2 linked regions of the Tribolium castaneum genome follow. The protein of the gene in region 2 purifies or fractionates together with the protein of the main gene of each other region. This does not show direct contact. Links are inferred from orthologs where the notes say so. Each region holds a gene or a part of one and is shown on either strand. Other genes may lie near its edges. The genes, in order: HDAC3 and runt-related transcription factor 3.

Region 1 (4,293 bases), on a different chromosome or scaffold from region 2:
CATGTACAACACTCCTAATAAAATTTATCAAAAAATTATGTACCATTTTTTAATAAAAAAAAAATGACCAAAAAATGGGCTTTTTCATTTTATTTTTTAATGACATAGAAGTTTTTTTTTCAAATTCATATACAACGTTGGGCAAAAGTATGGAACCAAGCATTTTATGCTTAAACTATGTACCTTACGAAAAAACTAATTATTAAGTCATCGACTACTTTAAAAATGTGATAATTTTTTAAGAATAAAATTTTTTGAAATTTCTTTTAGTCTACGTGTTATTAATTTTTTTTTCAAATGGCTTCCTCCTATGGCGATTTTTTTGGTAAAAGATTATGTTCTAAAAATAACTTCTACTTTAAAAAAATTAATTTTAAGCCATGTTTTTTTTTTCATAAATTATTATTATTATTTGAACTTAATTTTTTTATAGAAAAATAAACAAATCACGTTTCTAACCGTTTTAAACTCGGGAATGATTCAACGTTAGAACAACACCCAGTTGTAATGAAACTATTTTGTGCAATACTTTTCATAAAAATTCAATTTCAAATTTTGCGTTCAGTTCCACTTCAGACCTCCTTAATATAGTTCAGTGGCGCAGCAAGGGAGATTGTTGGGGGTTGAGAACATAATCATGCAAAATAATTTAAGTTGCAGTAATAAAACAAAACTTTCCAGACAATCATTGTAGACATTCGATTTTTTCTACTTCCGAAAATTCCGAGAAAAGCAACCCACAAAATCCATATTTTCGTTATATTTCAGAAAAATCTTCGGAGAGGTTTTTTGTAAAATAAATGCTACATTTCTGATACCATGGTAGAAATAACTTTTTGAGTAATGACGTTATTTTTTATGAAAACCGACATTTTTAACAGATTACTGTTTTTGATAGTAGGTACACTCCCTTATCTTTCTGGTAATAATAAAAAAATAAAAAAAAATAATATTATCTACACAAAACAAAAAATACCAATATTATTTACCGATTATTTTGCATATATTTTTGAAAATAATTAAAATAGAAACACTTAAACAAAAATATTAAAACAATTACCACCTATAAAATAAGGCAGGAAACAGACAGATAAAGCTTTTTGTGTGAAATTCTTAATAATTTTTGTAGCTACAAAATGTGAGCTATACAACAAATAACCTTGAATTTAAGACAATTTTTTTTACATTATTTTTGCCCCGAACAACATTTCCGAAAAAACATTCAGCAACATATTTATTTTTAGTTAATTTTAAGTGCTACAAGGAACTAAAATAATCATATGCAGGTAAAGAGCTCATTTTTCATTTCTGCGTCGTTATTAGTTTACTAATGAAAAACATATTTTTACGAAGGTAAACCCCCATAAACTCTATCTCTGGCTGCGCCACTGGTATAGTTGTTCAACCTTCAATTGAAGAGTACAGGGGAAAAACAGGAAATAACTACTTTTCAAGAATTTGAACTAATAATGTCATGTAGTTTTTACTATTTTTTTAGCTCAAGTTATAGCCCTCCATAGTCAAAATTAAAACTAATTAACTAAAAAAAGTTGTTTTTCTTTGAATGACGTTCGTCATTTTTCCCTTATACTTATCAATTTAAAAATTACTTAGTAATGGCCTCCAAATACTGGCGACTGTTTGCGTTTTCCTGCCTTGTGACCACCTCAGGATGTAGGGTAAAGTCGGGTGCGAAAAACTCCAAATATTCGGTGTAGGGCAATTCATTTGAAATTTGTTCATCCACAAGTAACGAAGTTTCGTAAGTCCAACACCTCGCGACATTTCTCAGCGTATAACCGCCACCTCCAACCACCAAAGTTGGAACATTCAGACTCTTGACGAACTTAACACACTCCCCGTGCCCTTTGGTACTCAGGGAGAAACACCCCAGGCGGTCGTTGGCCAAGGAATCGGCCCCACATTGTAGTACAATTGCAGTGGGTTGGAAAAATTCCATCACGCTTGAAATGACCGGCTTAAAAACCATCCAATAGCTGGAATCGTCGATTCCTTCCTTCAGCGGCACGTTGACGGAGTAATAACGGCCACTTTCCGCCCCCACTTCGTACATATCGCCCGTGCCCGGGAAGAAATAATTGCCGTATTTGTGGAAACTGACCGTCATGACCCGATCAGTGAGATAGAAGGCTTCCTGGACGCCGTCTCCGTGATGCACGTCGATGTCAATGTATAAAACCCTCGCGTGGTACTTGAGCAATTCTAAAATCCCAATCACAATATCGTTAACGTAGCAGAAACCACTGGCTTCGAATTTCTTGGCGTGGTGGAGCCCCCCTGACCAATTAACAGCAATGTCGCAGTGGTTATTGTTCAGTTTCATGGCCCCCTCGAGCGACGCCCCCGTGTACATGGAGCAGAAGTCAAACAGCCCCCAGAAGACCGGGCAATCGTCCCCCACGTTATAGTGACTCAGATGCTTGGTGAACGCTTGGATGTTCTGCGGCGTGACTTTTTGCAGAAAATCTACAAGTGTGGGGGTTAAGGCAAGTGAAATTACCGTGGTGGCTTTACCGATGTATTCGTCCGAGTGGAAGCGACACATGTCGTGGGCGCTGGCCTTGTAAGGCCGGTAAATCTGCATGTGCTTGTGCAGCCCGTAATTTAACACTAAGCTGTGGATCACAGACAGGCGGTGGGGCTTCATGGGGTGCCCCGTCCCGTAGTGGAAGTTCCCCACGTCAGGGTTGAAGAAGTAAGACACTCGGTGCTTCGACATCACGCCGATAGCTCCTTCCACACGTACAAAAAATACAAAAACAAAACTATAACAACAAGGCGTTTCGTCAGCCAAAACCTATCCTCCGGCATGCTTCCGGATAGCCCCCATTGTGGTTTCTGATAAAACAGCCCCCAAACAAACGTGACGTTTCTGCGCCTCACTACCAACCGAACGACGCAAAAACACCCATTAAGAAATGGTGTTGTCGTAAAGATTATTATCATTAATTACAGAACATATTTCACAAATAAAACTCTGGACGCAATGTTGTTTTTGAGAATAAAGACGAAATTTGCCCATTTGAGTCTGTTTTAAGCGTTTTATCCCCCGATTTTCGTCGAGACTTTGTCACCAACTCCAAAACCAAAATCCCCAAGTTTGAAAATGGGCATCAAAGACCTGTGGACGCTTCTGGCCCCTTTCGGGGAGCGTAAGCCCCTCTACGAGCTGCAGGGCAAGACCGTGGCCATCGACTTGTCGTGCTGGGTGTGCGAGTCGCAAAACGTGACCGAATACACGGTGCAACCCCGCATGTACTTGAGGTTAGGTGACTGACACCGGTTCAAAATTTTGATTTTTTTTTCCAGAAATTTGTATTTCCGCACTTGTTACTTGCTCCTAATGGACGTAAATGTGGTGTTTGTGCTCGAGGGGCGCGCCCCCGAGCTCAAATACAAGACGATCGCCGCCCGCAATGCCCTGCAGTTCAAAGGGGCGAAGCCCAAAAATGGGGCCAAGACCAAGGACAGGTCGAGGTTTAATCACACGTTGAAACGGTGCGAGGAGATGTTGAGTTTGTTGGGGCTTGCGTGTGTGACTGGGGAGGGCGAGGCCGAGGCTTTGTGCGCACAATTGAATGAAACTGGGGTAAAAACATATTTTTTTTTCTAAGGTTCAAGGGGTTGTTTTAGCTCGTCGATGGGATTATTAGTCAGGATTCGGATTGTTTCGCGTATGGGGCACGTGTCGTTTATCGCAATTTTTCCATCTCGCAGCAGGGCAATCAGGCGGCCAAAGGGGGCTCTGTGGACGTTTATGACATCAGTGTGGCCAATGAGCGACTGAGTGAGTCCCCGAATTGCGAATGATTGTTTGATTTTTTTATTTTATTATTATTTTTTTCTGATCAATCCATCAATTTATTATCCAAATATACAATACAGGAATTATTTCGACAATTTTTAAAATATCTGGGAACCTACCAGAAAGATTACTTTAATTACACTTACAATTTTTTTGGTACATCAGAAAAATATTTATCAAAATAATTGGCTAATTTTTCACTGTTGCTAATTTATAAATTACCCACTTTAATAGGGATATTCTCAAAAAATCTGCTACAGCCTATAACTCTTTACATTTCATAGCTAAGAGAGCTAAGAAATAAATTTCTTAAAGATCGTCGAAAGTATGGATGAACAATTTATTTTGTATAAACTTTCGTAGTAAGTAATTAGTAGAAAATTAACAACTGGAAAAACAACACTAGGGCAATAGGACAATTTGAGGAGGAAAAAAAATTGCCTCCTCAAGAAGAGGGAAAAAGTAAT
Region 2 (2,850 bases):
TCCTACCATCCCGGATAAGTACTATAACCAATTCTACCCTAAGCTTTATCCTAATAGGGCCTCCACACGTCCCCAAGTCTATTACACTTCAAGTGCTCCTTTTCACTCGAACTGACCTCCTCCTTCTGCCTCACGAGCGTGATCGCCGCCTTCCTGCACCTATGCAGCGACAGGTTCACCCCTTCGTCCTTGCCCTTTTTCTCTTCCTTCGCCTTGCCGTCGTCGGACTTGACCTCGTCATCCACCCCTTCCGACTTGGTCGATCCGTTGGGATTGTGACCTAGTTCGAGAGGCGACGAGCTCCTCGGCAGCAGGGAGTGGTGTCGCAGGTTCATCCAGGCCCAGTCGTGCGGGTAAAACTGCGAGTAGAACCACTGGCCGGGGGGCGGAAGTAAAGGAGCGTTGAGGAACAGGCTGGCGGCTAGTGCGTTATTGAACAATTGATTGTTTTGGATTGGGGGCGGAGGCGCCCCGGGAAATGCCGGTGGCGGCTGCGGGGACGGAGTCGGCGATGCTGTTACGGATATGTCATCTTCAGGTGGCGAAAGCGGGGCGCCTGCGGTTGTGAGAAGGCCCACTTGCGTGGGGGAGGTCTTGGGGGAGGTGGTGCTGTGGGCCGGGGTGCAGTTGATGGAGATGGGGCCCAGGGAGGTCGAGCTGGGCTCTGGAAAAAACAAGTTGATTATGAAAACTTTACTCGCATTGTGAAACAAAAATAAGTCTCAAAAAACATTGTTAATAAAAATCATGGCCACTGCGAATAGTAGGATTTGCGCACGTCCACTATTTTTGACTAGAAAATACACAAATTTGGTGATTTTTGGAGAAATTATGTGCATTTTCGGTCAAAAACGTGCTGAAAGTCACAAAAAAGGTAAAAACAATTTTAAATTGTAGAATCAACTTATACGTCCGGTATCTTTTAATGAAATCTGGTGAAAAATTAGAAAATTAAATTGAAAAAAAGTGGAAGAAAATGTTTTCTCGAGCTAATTCGCCGACTTTTGAACTGAATGTATTTGCGTTTTAGGTGAATTATTGCAATTATATAGTTTGTAATGTTGATTTATTTAAAAAGTTTGTGTTAAAATATCTGCAAAACACGGTCAGTTCCTGGGGCTTGGTGGCTCAGTGGTATAAGCGCCACTTACGACGGGGGAGGTCGGGGGTACGAACCCGGAGCAGGGTAACAATTTTTCTATAAAAAAAAGTAAAGAAAAGGTAAGTAAAACAACACATAAACAAAAATAAGAGACTGAGAGAACACATAGACGTATAAACGTAAAGCGGAGCATAAAACTGACAGAAATAAGAAAATAATGCGGCAAAAGGTAAAAGTACGTAAAGGCGCTAAATTGTAAACGTAAGAACACATCTCAATAAAAGGAAAATACTTTTTGTTTTGCGAGAAAACAAATGAACGTAAAGGTGAAACATAACTTCAAACTTTTGCGTTGAATCCTTAGATGACCCACTTCTTAAATTATAAAAAAATATACGAAAATATTTAATTTATATCTAAAAATTTTTAGTTAACTGAGTTTGTTTAGTAAAGTTCCGAAAAACATTGTCAGTAAAAATCATGGCCACTGCGAATCCGGTAGGATTTGCGCACGTCCACTATTTTTGACTAGAAAATACACAAATTTAGTGATTTCTCGAGAAATTATGTTCATTTTCGGTCAAAAACGTGCTGAAAGTCACAAAAAAAGATAAAAACAATTTTAAATTGTAGAATCAACTTATACGCCCGGTATCTTTTAATGAAATCTGGTGAAAAATTAGAAAATTAAATTGAAAAAAAGTGGAAGAAAATGTTTTCTCGAGCTAATTCGCCGACTTTTGAACTGAATGTACTTGCGTTTTAGGTAAATTATTGCAAATATATAGTTTGTAATGTTGATTTATTTAAAAAGTTTGTGTTAAAATATCTGCAAAAGACGGTCAGTACCTAGGGCCCTGGTGGCCCAGTGGTATAAGCGCCACTTACGACGGTGGAGGTCGCGGGTACGAACCCGGATCAGAGTAACAATTTTTCTATAAAAAATAAGTGTAGAAAAGGTAAGTGAAACAACAAGTAAGCAAAAATAAGAGATTGAGAGAACACAAAGACATATAAACGTAAGCGGAGCATAAAATAATGTGGCAAAAGGTAAAAGGCGCCAAATTGTAAACGTAAGAGCACATTCTAATAAAGAGAAAATACCTTTTGTTTTGAGAAAAAAAGAAATGAACGTAATGGCGATTCATAACTTTAAACGGAAGCGTTGAATTCTTAGATAACTCATTTCTTAAATTATAAAAAAATTAAACGAAAATATTTAATTTATATCTAAAAATTTTACAATAGCCAAATCACAAATCAACTTTTAAATCAAGTTCACAGTTACTATATTTTTATTTTAGTGTAAAAAAATGCATTACTATATTACCATCATTTCTAATACGTAGAATTTTATTGCGAGTGTCATTTGAAATAAAAAAATGAAGTACTTACCGTTTGCTATTCTCGGTGAGGTGTTAATTGGACGGTCGAGCGCTGCAAACATATGGGGAGGAAAGTGCGGGTGGTGGTGAGGAACGAAGGGTCCTGGGGGGTACGGATGTCGCCCCCCTAGCATGGCCCACTCGGGCGGGGGCCCCGGAAGTCCCGCCAGATGATGAGCAATGCCTGCAAAAAAAGCCATCATTGCGCCTTCTCCCGAACTCAAATTGATTAATTAAGACAAATGGTGGTGTCGGCAAAAACGTCATTATCCTCTTAAGTTGGCAAAGTCTCCTGGTGCGCGTATTCAATAATAACCCTCATAATCTCATATTTCCTGCAAACAATAAGTTGCAAACTAGAAT

The links.
Region 1: the proteins of runt-related transcription factor 3 (region 2) and HDAC3 purify together in Homo sapiens (affinity purification with western blotting; 3 studies listed by BioGRID). This does not show direct contact. The link is inferred for Tribolium castaneum from reciprocal best matches to the Homo sapiens genes RUNX1 and HDAC3.

Annotation. Positions count from the first base shown.
Region 1 is NC_087401.1:11,246,667-11,250,959, forward strand, and holds the start of HDAC3 (histone deacetylase 3), read right to left. Parts: upstream 2,903-4,293; 5' UTR 2,741-2,902; coding exon 2,536-2,740; intron 2,488-2,535; coding exon 1,611-2,487; intron 1-1,610. Other genes in the region: flap endonuclease GEN, read left to right, coding at 3,128-3,285, 3,331-3,610, 3,655-3,808. UniProt on the Homo sapiens protein: Histone deacetylase that catalyzes the deacetylation of lysine residues on the N-terminal part of the core histones (H2A, H2B, H3 and H4), and some other non-histone substrates.
Region 2 is NC_087399.1:3,616,593-3,619,442, forward strand, and holds part of runt-related transcription factor 3, read right to left. Parts: intron 2,672-2,850; coding exon 2,498-2,671; intron 665-2,497; coding exon 51-664; 3' UTR 1-50.